2 linked regions of the Rhinolophus ferrumequinum genome follow. Each later gene encodes a partner of the first gene's protein in a complex. Links are inferred from orthologs where the notes say so. Each region holds a gene or a part of one and is shown on either strand. Other genes may lie near its edges. The genes, in order: PSMB10 and PSME4.

Region 1 (8,410 bases):
TCTTTGGAGACTGGGTCTGGGCCTGGCAGTGAAAATGGATCTGCGGTTCTGCAGGACCCTGAGAAGTTTGGGGACTTTCCCGTCCAGCACCCCAGGAGGCCTGCTCTGGCTGGAGAAGACTGGTCAGGGCTGACATGGGGTTTGAAGGCAGCCAGCCCAGGAGCGCTATTTATTGAATATTTATTGTTTGGATGTCACCATCAGAGAGAAGGGGAAGGGCAACTAGGGAGGGGAGGGAGTCTGACCCAGCCCGCCTGCTGGAAGACCTGGCTCAGGCTACTGTGGGCAGGGACCCCACCAAGCCAAGCCTAATGGAGCCAGCCAGCTGAGGCCTGCCTTTTTTCAATAAAACATTGTGTACTTCTGGGCCTCCTGCTGCCCAGGCTCTGTTTCCCCTGGCGCCACGGGAAGAAGGCGGAACTGAACCTAGGCCCAGAGCCGGCTCCCTGAGGCTGTGCCCCTTTCCGGCAATCCCTGGCCACCGCCATTGGCCAGGCTTTCCCTCCCACTGGCCCCAGGGCCCCTCCTACCCCCACTCCAGATAAGGCCAGCCCAAGACCGCTTCACTGGGCAGTAGGCACTGGGGCTGGAATGGGGCCGCCCGGCTCCCTATGGCAGTGGGTGCTGCTGCTGCTGGGGCTGCTGCTCCCCCCTGCCGCCCCCTTCTGGCTCCTCAATGTGCTGTTTCCCCCGCAAACCACGCCCAAGGCTGAGCTCAGTAACCACACAAGGCCCGTCATCCTCGGTAAGCCCCCACCAGGCCCCTGATGCAGCAGGCCAGACCTTGGGGAGCTTGGGCCCCAGCCCCTGGTAGTTGACCCTGCCAAGGCCCTCTGCCCCTGCATTAGCCCTGATCCCTGCTTCAGTGTTTGGAGGGGCCAAAGGCTTCTCCTGCAGAGAAATTAACCCCTTCCCCCCACCTCACTTCCTGTGTCTCTGAGTTATCTACCCCCGGTGGGTGGAGTGGGGGGCGGGTGTGCCTAACAGCGTGGCCAGGGCAATACAAGCTGTGGTCAGCTGCAGCCACTGAACCCTCGGCCAAGCCCCACTACTCCTTCCTCAGCCCCCACCCCAGCAGGGATAAGATGCCCAACCCAGGAGAGCAGGAGAGGCCCCTCAAGGCCTGCCCTACTCCGAGGCCCAGACCCCACTGCCCCATACCTGCTTATTCTCACCTTGGACTTTGGCAGTAATGGAGACAGGCTAGGTGTTTACTTTTGGGGGGGCAGAGGTCAAAGCCTTGGCCTCTGCACTTTCCTTGCCTGAGGGGGAGCCTGGGCTTTGTGCTGCTGGAGGGACGGGGTGGGGAGTTGGGGGGTGATCAGAAAGAGGATCTTGATCTTCATCCCTGGGGGTTGAAGGGGTGGGGCTGGTCACTGCAGGGGGGAGTGGATGGGGTGGGGACCATGGTGGGGGTGGAGAGAAATCCGAGGAATCCAGAGTGAAGGCTAGTGCCCGCAGTGCCTGGCTGCCTGGGGAATCAGCTGGAAGCCAAGCTGGATAAACCAGATGTGGTGAACTGGATGTGCTACCGCAAAACAGAGGACTTCTTCACCATCTGGCTGGATCTCAATATGTTCCTACCCCTTGGGGTAGACTGCTGGATCGATAACACCAGGTATGCGCCATCCCCTCTGTCCCAGCTCCCTCACCCGGTCCCTTGGTCACTGGCCTGCTGAATGTCCCACTGTTCCCAGGGTTGTCTACAACCGCAGCTCTGGGCGTGCGTCCAACGCCCCTGGTGTACAGATCCGTGTCCCTGGCTTTGGCAAGACCTACTCTGTTGAGTACTTGGACGCCACCAAGCTGGCAGGTGTGTGTACTGGGGAAGCGCAGGGCTCTGCCTGTGCTGGGCCGCAGGAGCCATGCCCAGATCCCCAATGCTGTTGCGTCCCCGACAGGTTACATGAACACCCTGGTGCAGAATCTGGTCAACAACGGGTATGTGCGGGATGAGACCGTGCGGGCTGCCCCCTATGACTGGCGGCTGGGACCCAGTGAGTGTCTTTGAGGATGACGGGCTTGGGGTAGGGCAGGTGGTCCCTAAACCCCACTGCCCTGACCCCATCCACTCCCACCCCCTGCAGGCCAGCAAGAGGAATACTACCAGAAGCTCGCTGGGCTGGTGGAGGAGATGCATGCTACTTATGGAAAACCCGTCTTCCTCATCGGGCACAGCCTTGGCTGCCTGCACCTGCTCTATTTCTTGCTGCGCCAGCCCCAGTCTTGGAAGGATCGCTTCATCGATGGCTTCATCTCTCTTGGGGCTCCCTGGGGTGGCTCCATCAAGCCCTTACTGGTCGTGGCTTCAGGTGAGACGGGCTCTGATTACTGGCGTGCTGTGGTGAGGTTGAGGGGTGGAATGAAGCTGACCATGGGCCTGCCCTCGCTCCTGCTTCTGCACACAATGCCATGCGGTGGGTGTCGTCTACCACCCCTGGGGCATGGCCTCTATCGTTGGCCCCCTAAGAGTAATGAGCCTGGCCTGGACCATTAGAGTGACTCCTGCCAGAGTCTGTCTCAGTGATGACAAGGGAAGTTTAACAGAGAGAAGTGAACTCCAGCAATCTGACTCACTGCCCCAGGTTTGTTCCTGTGGCCTCAGGTCCTGCCCACCCAGCTTTCAGCTGCCTTCTGCTCCCAGGAACCTTTGCCCGGGGATCTCTCCTACTGGAGACAGATCTGCCAAAGCCAGGACCAGACCCTAGGAGCCCCTCCCTGAGGAGTGCCACAGTTACTACCTGTTGAGAACCCACTGTGGATGCTGGGCCCAGCCAGACTCGGCCTCCCCTCTAGTAGCTCACAGTCTGGTGAGGGAAACCCTCAGACTACATCAGTTAGTGTCAAACACAAACACGGTCTCATTTCATCCGTCCCAGAACATAGCTCTGACCGCGGTGCAGCACAGATCACAGGGCCAACACACACCTGCCTCAGGGAGAACTGCCAGCACTAAACCCCCCACCCCCCCACCCCGACCTTTTGCACATACACATCCATCCTCAGGAAACCCCTCCCTGCCCTCTTTTTGAGGCCCTATAGCTCTGCCTCACAGAGGTGCCCTCAGGGCTTCTCATTTAATAAGCATACATTGAGCACCTACTAAATGCTAGGCCTGTTCTAGTCTGGCTTGGAGCCAATGTTTGGATTAGGTTGGGACAAAACTGAGCCTGCAGCTGAGCGTGGGCTGGGCAGCAAGTTGTGGGTCGGGGGCAGCCAGGCCTGGCTCCCTGCCTACCTTGCTCCATGTCCACAGGTGACAACCACGGCATCCCAATCATGTCCAGCATCAGGCTGAAAGGAAAGCAACGCATGACGACGACATCGCCCTGGATGATACCCGCCAACCACGTGTGGCCTGAGGACCATGTGTTCATGTCCACACCCACCTTTAACTACACAGGCCATGACTTCCAGCGCTTCTTTTCAGACCTGCACTTTGAGGAAGGCTGGTACATGTGGCTCCAGTCCCGCAGCCTGCTGGAAGGACTGCCAGCACCGGGTGTGGAAGTGTACTGCCTGTACGGCGAGGGCTTGCCCACGCCCCGCACCTACATCTTTGACGATGGCTTCCCCTACACTGACCCTGTGGATTTTCTCTATGAGGATGGTGATGACACTGTGGCCACGCGCAGCAGTAAACTCTGTGCCCACTGGAAGGGCCTCCAGCCACAGCCCGTGCACCTGCTGCCTCTGCATGGGACAGAGCACCTCAACCTAGTCTTTAGCAACCAGACACTGGAGCACATCAATGCCATCCTGCTGGGTGTCTACCGCCGGAACAACTCCACACCCCCAGCTGCCAGCCCAGAGCCCCTCCCCCCTGAATAAAGCTCATCCTTTGCTGCTGTAAGCCTTGACACATGTATTGTGGGTTGAGGGGGGGTCACTAGGGTCTGCACACCAGGATTCATTCATCAGCAGCCGCAGGCCTAGTGCTTTGTGGAGCACAGGCAACATGGGCTTTGCTAAAGCCTAGGATTGAACTGGGCACCCTGAGATATACAACTTCCCACTCTCTGGTTGAGCTGGGAAGGCAGCCTGACTTGTGTCTGCCTCTTCTCTGGGCGTGGGGTCTGGGGACAGCTGTGGGATGGGGCACATGGGTCAAAGGTTTGGGATGGGGGAGATCTGAGCTATCTCTCCCTGCTCCAAAAGGGCAGTCAAGACCCCACCTCTAGACAGGGCCTGTTGAGTGCTAGGTGAGTGACAAAAGCACAAGAGTTTAGAATCTGGCGGCGTGACAGCCACTAATGAGATCATTCATTTCACTAATGGTTTAATTATTACTGGAGCTAAGTAGTCTGAGAAAAAAGTTTAGGGAGCAACAAGGGGTTGAGTACTGGGTCAGGGAAGATTTCCCAGAGGAGGTGTTGCCTCCATTGAGCTCAGACAGATGAGAAGGGTAACATGGGTCACGGTAAGGACTTGAGTTTGAGCCTAAGGGCAGTGTGCAGCTGCTGAAGCGTTTAACCAGGGAAAGAGTGTGACCATATTTCCCATCTAGAAAGAGACCCTTCTCTGCAGGGTAGAGCTGGGGGGCGGGGGGACGAGGGCGGGCAGGAAGTGTAGGGAAGCCAGTGAGGCCAGTGCAGTAGCCAGAGGAGAGAGGAGGCTGGCTGAGACAAAGGCAATAGTTAGGAGGAAAACGTGGATAAAGGGTCACTTGGGAGGTGAAATAAGACTTAGCCATGGGTAGAGCCCAGCATGCCTCCAGGCCACTAGATGGAAAGCCATGGGGCCCCTCTTGGGAGAGGGAAGACAGCACCTGAGATAGGGACTATGAAAGGACCAGCATCAACATTGCTGAGGATTAAGCCTCTGTGTTTGAGGTTTCTGGCAGAAAGCAAAGGCAACAGGAGACAGGCAGGAATTGGGTAAAGGAGGGTGACAAGGGCCTAATGCTGGGAGACCTGTAATAATGCGGACAGAGACCTGGCAAAGGTCTGACAGCCTTAGAATGTTGGTACTTAGGTTAGAGTTGGCGTCAGAGGCACAACTAGGGGCTTAGACTGGAAGTGGCAGGAGGAGCTGACCAATGGCCAGAAGAGAGGAATGTCCTTCGGTTCAGACAGAGGACCTGGGAGCAGCATGGAGAGCCAGGCAAGGGACATCACCCCCTACCCAACCTGCTTAAGACCAGAAGTGAGGGTGAAAGCGAAAGAGAAGCAAAACACGCCAGTGTCCTCTGAGTAAAGGTGAAAGTGAAAGCAGGAAGCGTCAGTGGAGCCCCACAGAGAACAAGGCTTTGGCCCTTCGGGCTCCTGGCTGGTCTCACTCCTCTAACCATCGACCCCCAATTCCTGGACTGCCCTGCTCACCCCAAGATGCTGAAGACAGCTCTACAGACCCAAGGGGGATTCTCCTTCGAGAACTGCCAGAGGTGAGGTGGCGGATGGTTGGTCCCGAGCTGCCTATGCTCTCGGTGAGGTCTTCCGGGAGTGCAGGGCCTTTATTCCTGGTGGCGAAGGGCTGGGGGGTAACATGTGTGGGAAGACTTGGGTTCCCAGACTTACTCTGGGAGGTGAGGGAGACCGGGACGGAGTTGGGCAATGTGACGGGGGGGGGGGGGGGGGGGGGGGTCGTCCCAGAAGAACCGAAACATAGGCCACTCCCTTTCGTTTCCAGAAACTCATCCTTGGAACGGGCGCTCCCGGGGCTCCGGGTCCCTCATGCGCTCAAGACCGGAACCACCATCGCGGGTCTTGTGTTCCGAGTGAGTAGGGGGTTCGAACGGGGAGGCTTAGAGAAGCGGCCGGGGATCTGGCGGGCACTGAGCTAACGGCCTCTTTTCCCCCCTCCCCAGGACGGGGTCATCCTGGGGGCGGATACGCGGGCCACTAACGATTCGGTCGTTGCGGACAAGAGCTGCGAGAAGATCCACTTCATCGCGCCTAAAATCTAGTGAGAATTCCCCAGCCCCGTTCCCCCACGCAAGAACCGCTCCCTGGTACACGCACATCCTAGCCCCGCCTACACCGACCCTCCCTTCGCCCTCAGCTGTTGTGGGGCTGGAGTAGCCGCAGACGCCAAGATGACCACGCAGATGGTGGCATCCAACATGGAGCTACACGCACTGTCTACCGGCCGCGAGCCCCGCGTAGCTACCGTCACCCGCATTCTGCGCCAGACGCTCTTCCGGTGCTGGGGCCGAGCTAAACGTCCCTGGGGAGGGGTCGTTGCGGGGAGGGCGGGGCTGAGGAGGTGGGACGGGGGAGGGCGGGGCTGCGAGTCCGGGTAGACCGGAAGAGGCCGGCCTGAGAGGAGCCGGGCAACAGTCCTGAAGCGCCAGACCGCAGGAAGGGGCGGGGCCCGGAGCCAGGGGCGGGGTCTTGGTCCCGGAGCTTGCAGCCTAACACGGTCACTCTACGCAAAGGTACCAGGGCCACGTGGGTGCGTCTCTGGTCGTGGGCGGCGTAGACGTGACAGGACCGCAGCTCTACAGCGTGCACCCCCATGGCTCCTACAGCCGCCTGCCCTTCACGGCCCTAGGTGAGCGCTTCTGTCCCGTCCCCACAAAGCCCGCACCTGCGACCCGGGCCTCACGTTTGTCTTGTGTTGGGACGGCCTCGACTGACCTCATATGTCCCTCCTGCCTGCAGGCTCCGGCCAGGATGCGGCCTTGGCGGTGCTGGAGGACCGGTTCCAGCCGAACATGACGGTGAGCGACATCACTTACGTGGTTGTTGGTGGGAAGTGCACTCGGAGCTGGGGAGCCCAGAGGGACCCCCTGGCCTAGTCGGAAGGTCGCGGAAGGCTTCTCAGAGCAGACGACAAGTAGGTGGAGACAGAGGGGCCAGTGAAGTGAGGGTAGAGAGGTGCTGTTCCAACAGACTACTAACGGTGCCAAAACTTTGGACTGCTCCAAGAAGTCAAAGCTCAGGACCGTTTGGAGTTGAGGGAGGAGGAAACAGCAGGTGGGGTCTGAGTCTGGGTTTTGTTTGGGGTGGGACAGAAGTGTAGCTTCCAAGGTGCCTAAGGCCCAGAAAGAGAGACAATGAGCCGGTGAATTGGGGACCAAGACCATATTGGTTGGGTGGATAGGCCACTGAGAGCAGAGGCTCAAGTGAAAGTGACTCAGAAATTTCTGAAGATGGGGGCAGTGGAACAGGGGATCTCTGGAGAGAGGGAGGCAGAGAGCTGGAGAGGGGAGATGGGGGTGTAGGGGGTGAGAGGAGTTTAGGTGTGAGCAAATGGTAAGTTTGGGCTTCACGATTAACAGTCCAGGCTGTCGCCTAAGGGTGATACCAGAGGGTATCACCAGAGGGTCCACTGGGCCTCACACACACACATCTCCACAGCTAGAGGCTGCACAGGGGCTGCTGGTGGAAGCCATCACTGCAGGAATCCTGGGTGACCTGGGCTCCGGGGGCAGTGTGGATGCATGTGTGATCACAGAGACCGGTGCCAAGCTGCTGCGAACCCTGAGCTCTCCCACAAAGCCCATAGAAAGGTGAGAGCAACGGAGATGTGGGACTACATGGGAAGATGGGTGGTAGCAGGGGAGCTAGGGGGCTGCTAGAAGATGGGCCACATGTTGGTTCCATGTTGAGATACCATCCATCCTCCCTCCTAGGCCTGGCCAGTACCGCTTTGCCCCTGGAACCACAGCTGTCCTTTCCAAGACAGTGGTGCCACTGCCCCTGGAGCTGGTGGAGGAAACTGTGCAGACCATGGAGGTGGAGTGAAATAGGCTGAGCCTTAGAGCTTGGAACAAGGGGGAATAAATGCAGAAAATACAAACACCTGAAGAGATGGCTGTGTGGTTCTTGGGTGGAGGGGCCAAGCAGCCAGCAGGGCTCTATGGCTAAGGTATCCCTGCAGGAACTACTCCCTCCCACAGCTCCAGTATCTGGCCTTAGAGGTGCCCTTCACCCATCACCTTAGGCATCTACCCTCTTCCAGAACTTCAGCCCTGGCAAGCATTGCAGGCTCAAGGTGGAAAGCCACCTCCTGTCTCCACACCATAGAGGTTCCCCCTACCACTGCCACGCCTTGATCTTGCCATGTAGTCCACTGGGGACTGTTGTAAAACCCAAAAGGCCCCACTTAGAGCCTTTGCCTGGCTCATCAGTGACCCAGGACAAACCCCACACCTCTCAGTCAAGCCCCCCCCCACCCCATCGGCCCCATTGAGGGCTAAAGTGCTGACAGAGGAGCTGCCCATTTTCAAGGGCAGGTTCTTACAGAGCACTACTCACCCTGCTACACCTTTATCCGTGAAACCGTCCTGATGACCAGACTGAGGTGCTAACACAAAGCTGGGTTGTGAGTAGGGGGACTGACTTCAAGTTTTCTGGGATGATGGGTCACAGTGCTCATGTGAGGACAGATGACGTGACACATTTATCCAACAAACCTTTCCTGAGCACCCACTGACTGCTAGGCCAAGGTCCTGGGTGCTGGCAGG
Region 2 (8,569 bases), on another chromosome or scaffold:
GAATTCTCAGAACTAGAAATGATAGATCTTGTAAAGTTATTCAGAATGAGGTAGAGAGATAAAGACTTAAAAAATATAACAAATATGGAGATTAGACAGAGAAGGTATAACACATGTCTAATGGGAATTCCACCAGGAGAGGAGAACAAAAAAGTCATGAAAAAAAAAAAAAAGTCATGAAAAGATAATAGATGAAAATTTTGCATAACTGATGAATGATACGAATCTTTTGATTTGAGAAATACATCTTCCCTGCAAGATTAATACAAAGAAGCACACATCTAGTTACACTGCAGTAAAATAGCAAAAATGCCTAACAGAGAAAAAAACCAGTAAAATAATAAAAAATTCATTCCTTTAGCTGTGATTTCCTGCTTGTTAAAAATTGAACATATACTTTAGTTCAAATGAAGTGGATACTATAAATAGATAAAAAGGATTTTTGGATGAAATATTAAAAACTTAAAAATCATATAGGAACTAGAAAAACAGTCATTTTTCAGATCCAATATTCTGGTGTCCTTAATAACTGTAACAGCAAGAGTCTGGATACTTGATTACATTAGATGACTAATTTTTAAAGATTATGCTTTTAAATATTTTTAAAGATTATGCTCTGGCAACAGAGATTCATACACTTGTCAAAACAGCCCCAGTCCCAAATGCATCACATATAGAAAAACTAAGGCAGGAGAAGGCAGGAAACTGTCACTTTTGTTCACTGCTAATAAGTGGATTACCAAGTAGTGGGCCAATAAGTATATCAAAGACATAAATATTTGATTGATAATTATCCCTGCCAATTCTTCCAGCTTGAGAAGAAATCTCTCTCTTTAGAATATTTTCCATGAAGGGCTATTGTACTTTCAGGGTCTTCCAAAAAGGATGATTACAGTTCGCTTCCTCCAAGAGCCTAATAAGAAGCCAATGTCTCCCTCGGGGTCTGACTAAAAGGATAATGTGCGTTAATATCCTTTGGCAGAGTATCCTGAGTTCTAAGAGATTTAAAAAAAAAAAAAATGCTTGGGAGTTGTTGTGAGGAGAAAACTGACCCAGACTTTGGGTTAACTGTCTTCAGGGATGAGTAGCCTGCGTATCCCTGAACAACTTAAAGTCTACCAACTTTCTCACCTAACGGGGTTTTAATAGTGTTTTCTACTAAACTTCACATAAAATAACAGAAAGACTTTATCTCTTTTGCTCCAACAATTCTTTTGACTTTTCCAGTTCAGAAATCCACTCCCAGGAAACTTGACATCACCTGGAACTGCTTCTTTGAAGCTGTAAATCCAACATTTCAGTTCTTCCAGACCCCTTGCCCAGGCTAATCCAGTCATATCGTGCTGCGCCACTTCAGGATCGGAGTCCCTTGATCTCTCTGTTCTCTGCTTGTAGGTCCTCTTCTGTCTTCACTTTGACTTTAAGGGGAGCAGAGTTTGCCACACCAAAATATGCCTTGTTGGGATGTTGATTATTTTAAGCTGGTTATCGTTTAAGAAACAAAAGACTCCAGGAGAACCTTTGACCTTCCCCCTAACTGCCTAAAAAATTTTAGATAGAGGGAGAACCTGCTCCAGTAAGGGAGCTATTATTACAGATAACTACAGTTTAATATGAATTAACTGTGATAAACAGGAAAAAAACTACCAAAGCCTTTGATCAAAGTCTTCTTTGTGGTTTATCGTTAAAATGGGCCAACAAACATCTGTTTACCAAACATTTGCTTTCCCATCTCCATGTGAGTTGCCTTTTTTGCCTTTGAAGCCCCGAACTACAACTCCCCCCTCCCACAAGCCACGCCCCCCCCACAACCGTACCCCTTCACCTTAGTCCAAAATGGCATATAAACCTCAACTGTCAGATTTGTCCTTGGGTCTCATGTTCTTATGGAACTCTGTATGTACATACTTAATAGATTTAGTTATTTTCTCCTGTTAATCTGTCTCTTCAACTTGATTATTAGACCAGCCAGAAGAACTTAGAAGAGTAGGAAGAAACTTATTTTCTTCCCCTACAATTTCAACCAACTTAGGCACTCTTTCAAACATTCTCAACTCAATGATCGATATTTAGAGAAGAAAATTCAATGAGGTAATGTAGGTAAAGCACCGGCTGAGAGAAGTGCTCAGCAAATGGTAGCTAACACCACTACCATCACCACTGCCATCATACAGACCCTTCCCTTGCTCCTTTGTCATTCTATCATACCAGCTTGTATGTATACATTCCTGGGCTGCTAAACATTATTGGAGGAAAAAAATCACTCAATTGTGCAGAGAGACGATAGTGAATTCATGCTTCCAGCACTGTCAAGCAATTCTACTATTTCTCTAATCAGTTTTCTGAATTTTGAGACCACTCTAAACCTTTTCCAATCTCCTCAAATCTTCTACCCATCCCTTCCTCCCATCATTCTCATTCTCTTCATTCAGAGAAAAACAAAAACAGTAATCATCAAAAAGAACTTCTCCAACTTCTGGCCAACAAATCTACAAAACCTTTCTACATTTGCATCTATCCCCCTACTTTTTCCCTCTGACAATGGGAGCAACCTTGTTTACTTCTAAGGACCAATGACTCCGCCTTCTCTTCCACTCTCTGTCATCCTCACCCACACACTCATATCTTCAAACTCTCTCTCCATTGGCTCCTTCTCATCAATATTTAAACAAATTTAAATATATCCCTTGCTCAAAAATTCCTTTTTATTCCAGCTACCTCCTTCTCTCTCCTGTTCTTCCCACACAAAATTTTATGAAAAGGTAGTTCACATTTGCTGCCTCTATTTCCTGTTTGTCCTCTGTCACTGTAATCTGGTTTCCACTCCCACATTCCACTGAAACTGTTCTTATCTGCTTTATCAGTCACTGCAAGGATCCCTTCTCAGGTCTCAGTTGACCTGTCAGCCACCTTCTGTGTAGTTGATCACGTCCTCCACCTGAAACAGTTTTTAGGAATGCCCACTTTCCTAGAATGCCTCCGACCTCTCTGACTGCTTCTTGTGAGTGTTCTTTGGTCTCTCTCCTCTTTCTCTGTCCAGCTTCAAATATGGGGTTCCTCAGAGTTTGGTCAAGGGCCCTATTTTTTTCATATCGTTAAATTAATTAAACAGGAGACCCTTAGTCTGAGGTGGTAGCTAATGCCTTGGCAGCCTACTTCAGCAAATCAAAATTTAAGTGTAAATACCTCAAGGTTATGAAATCTAACCGCTAAGGACAAGCAATCACAAGTAGTCAACTAGGCTTGAAGCTACAGCCAATCAAACAGTTTCTTTCTTTGCTTTCACACCTTCTCTATAGTAAAAGTCTTTCTTCTGGCTCCAGTCAGTGGAACACTCTTAACCATTCCAGGTTTGGTGCTGCCCAATTGGAACAGATTTTTGCTCCAATAAACTCTTCAAAATTTTAATATGCCTTAGTTTATTTGTTAACAATACTCTGCATCTCATTCCCTCCGATCCACATATAGGTTAATCCATATCCCCATTGAGATCATCCTTCCTCATCCATACATCAAAATAGTAATACTTACCTACCCCTTAGGCATTCTGCCTTTAAAGCTGTTTCTGCTATGTTCTCAAGTCAGAAAAGTTTCCACTATTTACCCAGCTTCCCAAACCAGAAATCTGACATCATCCTGTCTCTTCCCTCTCTTTCACTTTTAGTATTAAGCTCAGGCCATTCTTCTTGCTTAAATAGCTCTCAATCATTTCAACTGACATCTAGACCATTGTTATGTCACATTTCCTTAAGGGGTCCTGTATTGTCCAGTATTGTCTGTTCCAATCCATTTTTAGAAATGGATTAGAACCACAAAGCCAGAGTGGTTCTTCAAAAATGTAAATTATATCATGCCACTCTTACGCTTAAAATCTTTCGGAGTTTCTTGTTGCTTTTAAGATAAAACTCTGAAAACATCCTAACACTTCCTTCTGTCTCAATTCTCCACTCCCCTCTCTTGCAAACCATCTTCAGCCATCCTTAACTTTTTGAACTTCTAGGGTGCATGCTTGCAGTCTCTGTGCTGTTCCCTCAGGTGAAATGTACTTTCTCTTCTCTTCTTTTTCTAATCAATTCAGCACTTAAGCCTTTAAACTCAATTTACGTATCACTTCTAGGAAACCACTTGACACCCCTCCAGTTTGAACTCTTTAGCTATTCCCAAGGCGTCCTGTACTTATCTAGCAATTAAAGAGTGTTGTTTTGTAATTGCCTATTCCCTAGTCTACAGCTCTGACTGTAAATGCCCGGAGGGCAGAAACTTGGTGCTCTTTAACTTTCCATCTCAAGTGCAAAGAAGGAGTCTGACACACAAAATAGTGGTACAATTAATATTTGTTGAAAGAATAACTATTTCCTTCTTTGGAATGAGGGCAGCCAGGAGAATACCAGAAAGATGAGGGCTTAAAAGGGACAGAGTAGTGAAAAAAAAAAAAAATCTATAACAAGAGGGATGGATACCGGGTCCCTAGGTTTTTCCATACACGCGGTGTGGGGAACTAGGCCAACTGCCGTGCCGGAGGCAACGGCGACTAAGGGCTCTCGAGAGGCATTCGCCAGGAGCGCCCAACACCGGCCCAGGAAGGACAATAGCTTGGAATTCGGCCTCGTGTTTCCGGCGGGGCAGCCTCGCGTTCGGCCGCTCAGGCCCGAGGGTGGGGGCTCCGAGCCCGGCCCACGGCGACGAAGGCGCGGCCCCCGGGGCTCCCGCCCCCGCCGCCACCACCTCCTCCGACGCCGTCGCCGCGCCCCGCCCCGCCCCGCCCCGGAAGTGACTTGAGGCCCGTCCGGAACCTCCGGGCCCGGCGGCTGCAGCGTCATCAGGCGAGCCGGTGCGGGGCAGGCGGAGCGGCCGCTGCCGCCGCTAACGAATTGGGGATCGCGCGGGACTAAGAGCGAGCCGGCCAGGGGAGGGGGCCCAGCTGTCGGGCCGAGGGCGACGGGCCGCCGGCGGCCTCAGGGCGACGACGACGCAGAGGAGGCGGAGCCCGGAGAGGGGTGGGGGCCGGGGAGGGTTAGGGTGGGAGGGGGTGGAGGGGTGTCCCTGGGCTCATGGAGCCGGCCGAGCGGGCGGGTGGCGGGGATCCCCCGGAGCCAGGCGGGTGTCCCGGGCCGGGCCCGCGGGCCTTCGTCCCGCAGAAGGAGATTGTCTACAACAAGCTGCTGCCCTACGCCGAGCGGCTGGACGCCGAGTCCGACCTGCAGCTGGCCCAGATCAAACGCAACCTGGGCCGGGCCGTGCAGCTCCAGGAGCTGTGGCCCGGGGGCCTCTTCTGGACCAGGAAACTCTCCACGTAAGTGTGACCGGGCCTGCAGGATGGGTCTGGGGCAAAGGCTCAAAGGAACGGCGTTCGGGGGCGGGGGCGGCTCTTTGTCCGCCCCTGATGGCTGGACCCTCAACTCTGACCGTATCGAGCCGGTGCAGTAGTCCCAGGGTCGCAACAGAAGCTTCGGAAGCACTCAAGCCTCCTCCCAGCCTCTTTCCTACGGGACCTCCTCGGTCCTTCTAGTCCTCTACGTCCGCCGTTGGTGCTTTTCCCCAGGGGTTTGGGTTGTTGTCTTCCGACCTGCGGGGCCCCGAGGGAGAGACATGTGCAGTCCCCCAAGGGTCCTTCTTGGATCTTTGCCCCTGCAGGAAGGGGAGCAGAAAGGATTCGATTTCGGCGGAGCAACTCTTGATTTCTCCTAGTTCCTCCAGTTCTTTCTTCCCCATACGATCCCCGACTCTAAATAGCCCTCAATTCGCGTCTAGTAACTTTTTCTGAATGGGAAGGAGGCCGTAGGGAGCTTGCAGGTTCTACATTTTTGGGCCTGCTCGGTCTTTGTGGATTTGATTGAAAAGATTGCTTTAAAATCAGCCCTCAGCGCACACTTAGGCTGCATACTAGACAGTAATGTTGAGAAGGTTGAGTCTTAGAACGGGGAAAGTGTATATTACTTCTGTTTGGAAATGTACAATACTACGGAAAGGAGAGGAGAACTGTCAGGTTGTCCTGGGCGTTATTAGTTATTAGTATTGGGTTTGTTACTTTTTTGAGTTGCTGAGATATAACTGTCGATTACCTAAATCAGTTTCAGGAGTTCTGTTCTTTTATTTTTTTAGCTGCGAACTATAATTGGAGAAATGAGTAAAATACAGTTGTGGGGGGAAGGTTAGAGATTTTATTTGCTAGATGGACATCTTCCCTGTGTCAGAAAAACTTTTTTAAAAAAATTTTGCTTGTCTTGTTTGGCTCATTACATAAAATGTTAACATTGTATGTTCATGCATAGGGGTATGGATGGATGAATACTTAAGACATGTCACCTATCCAGTGTTTACCCAAATCTGCTGAGTGAACTGGGTGATGACTCAGGGTTTTGTAATGCAATAGTCTTCTCTACATTTCCTCACAGGATGATTCTTATATGTCTATTATTAGGGAGCCTCTGATTAATTTCTCATCTTCACTTGGCGGTGGTGGTGGGAACAATTATCCCTTTAATTAAAAAGCAAAACTAAAACAGTTTATTTACCCTTTTCAAAGAGTGACCATAAAATGTCAAGGTTAACATCTCTCCTCTTGGTTGGAGAGTGAAGTTTGTGGTGTTCAGATCCGCAGGAGACATGGGAAAAAAGAAATGCAACAGGGAGAAGAACCACTATTAGTCAAAACAGAGAATGTTTTATAAATAATTAAAATTCACATGATTTTTCAAGTGCACCTTCCTGGGTGTTTCGATTACTCAGGCATAGTAAAAATAAAGTTACTTTGCCAGTTCCAGCAATTCCCCATTTTAATCACTTGTATTGGATTTGCCAGAGAATAACCATTTAGGGGGACACAAACAGCTCCTTTTAGATGTGTAATATATAAATATACCAATTGTGAATGCATGTCTGATTTGGATTAATGAATCTAGAATCTACACAGGCATAGTTAAGTATTGTTTTCTGACATTATTACTAAGCTTGGCAAATTATCACTTAGGGTTTTATTATTTTTGGCTTATTAAGTGAAAACCTAGATAGGGCAAAAAATACAATAGAGACAACCCTTGGTGTTTAGGGCAAGATTGCAGTTTTGTGGCTTAATATTGTGAACTTAAAGCCATTTTATTTCTAAATAACCAGCAAGAAATGCTGTCAGATAGAATTTTATTTTGGAACAGTGGTTAAGTGCTTCAAACTGATTTTTGGGATTGCCCTATGAGACAATTTGAACCCGGTGGGACATGTTGTGATCTTGGGTGTTATTTTTCCTCCTAAGTCATGTTAAGGTGACCTGTTTATAGTTGTGCTTGTTTATTAAGTCTTGTGTGCATTGCACAAGTGTACATCTAAATGATGCCAGAACATGTGATGATAGCTGTGAATTACTTGAGTAGTGATTATATTTTAGTACTTTGTAGAAGAATGGAAAGTAGTAATGAAAATAAAATCTAATTTCTCCCACTAGTTCTGTGACTGTGGAAAGTTACTTTAATCATGTTTTTCAATATTCTTGGGAGAGAAATGAGGAGGTTGGACTGAATAATTCCTGAGAAACAGTCCTGCGGTGGTATTTTATGATTTTATTTTTTATCCTGTAGAGCCTCAAATAAACCAGTGTGTATTTTTCTCCGAGGACTGTGAGCAGTTTGTAAAGTACACAGTACATTCCTAAAGAAGACCAGAGTGTACATGCTCTTCAAAGTCGCTGGGACTGGATCCCCGACCAGAAGTGTACACCCCTAATCTGAGCGTCACAGATCTGGGTGGAGGTAGAGTTCTTTCGAAGACACTCAGCCTCCCTCTTTTTAACGTTTTACCACAGTTTTGTAGATGTCATAATTCTGTTTCAATCCACTTTGAGACTTGTGGGTCTGTTTCGCATCTCTGTGAAGAAAGGTTATTTCTGGGTGTTTTAAAAATTGGTCCTGTGAAATAACACAAATTCTCTTGTACAGACAGTTTAAAGTATTAGCACTTCCTCTTCAAAAGAGATTGTGTAACATAACTCATCCACAGGGCCATTTTCTAAGAAGCAAGGAAACAAATTAGAGAAGATAGACACAAACTACTAGTGGTCTTTGGAAAACAGCAGTAAAGATAGCTGGTAGACAGTAAGTGAAAGGTATTGGCAACTGGAATGGCCCAGGTAGAGAATAAAGGGAGTTGAAGAAAGGTAGTCTTGAAAAATTGCTTTTTCTGCCTTGCCTTTCTTCTGTACCTTTCATGAAGGCAGTGAGGTCTAGTCCTAAGACCTTAGTTTATCTGTACCTGGCTTTGCCACCAACATTATTGTCTTGGTTTTCCTTAAACTCTCTTAGCTTTAGGAAAATGGGAGTGTAAATTATTAGTGTTTTTTCAAACTCAAAACTTAGCAGTGGACCGTTTCATGAAAGCAAAATCTTAAACACAAAATTGGATTCCTTAAGTAGACTAAAACTGCACTGATTATTTTTTCTTTGTAACACTTCATTGATAATAGAACCTCCTGAAGCCTGCTCAGGGCTCCAACACATATTGTTTGAAAAACTTCACTGGACTAGTCCTAAGGGTCTTTCTAGCTAGCTTGTGTTCCTTGAAATTGGTCTGGAGGAAGGAG

Evidence for each region.
Region 2: PSMB10 (region 1) and PSME4 share a complex: the UniProt entries of both Homo sapiens proteins name them as parts of the spermatoproteasome. The link is inferred for Rhinolophus ferrumequinum from reciprocal best matches to the Homo sapiens genes PSMB10 and PSME4.

The regions. Positions count from the first base shown.
Region 1 is NC_046298.1:17,478,653-17,487,062, reverse strand, and holds PSMB10 (proteasome subunit beta type-10), read left to right. Parts: upstream 1-5,022; 5' UTR 5,023-5,327; coding exon 5,328-5,383; intron 5,384-5,628; coding exon 5,629-5,716; intron 5,717-5,806; coding exon 5,807-5,904; intron 5,905-6,000; coding exon 6,001-6,141; intron 6,142-6,376; coding exon 6,377-6,492; intron 6,493-6,602; coding exon 6,603-6,661; intron 6,662-7,301; coding exon 7,302-7,453; intron 7,454-7,576; coding exon 7,577-7,688; 3' UTR 7,689-7,741; downstream 7,742-8,410. Other genes in the region: LCAT (phosphatidylcholine-sterol acyltransferase), read left to right, coding at 592-745, 1,462-1,618, 1,698-1,813, 1,902-1,997, 2,088-2,312, 3,257-3,831. UniProt on the Homo sapiens protein: The proteasome is a multicatalytic proteinase complex which is characterized by its ability to cleave peptides with Arg, Phe, Tyr, Leu, and Glu adjacent to the leaving group at neutral or slightly basic pH.
Region 2 is NC_046296.1:33,424,165-33,432,733, forward strand, and holds the start of PSME4 (proteasome activator complex subunit 4), read left to right. Parts: upstream 1-5,028; 5' UTR 5,029-5,051; coding exon 5,052-5,293; intron 5,294-8,569. UniProt on the Homo sapiens protein: Associated component of the proteasome that specifically recognizes acetylated histones and promotes ATP- and ubiquitin-independent degradation of core histones during spermatogenesis and DNA damage response.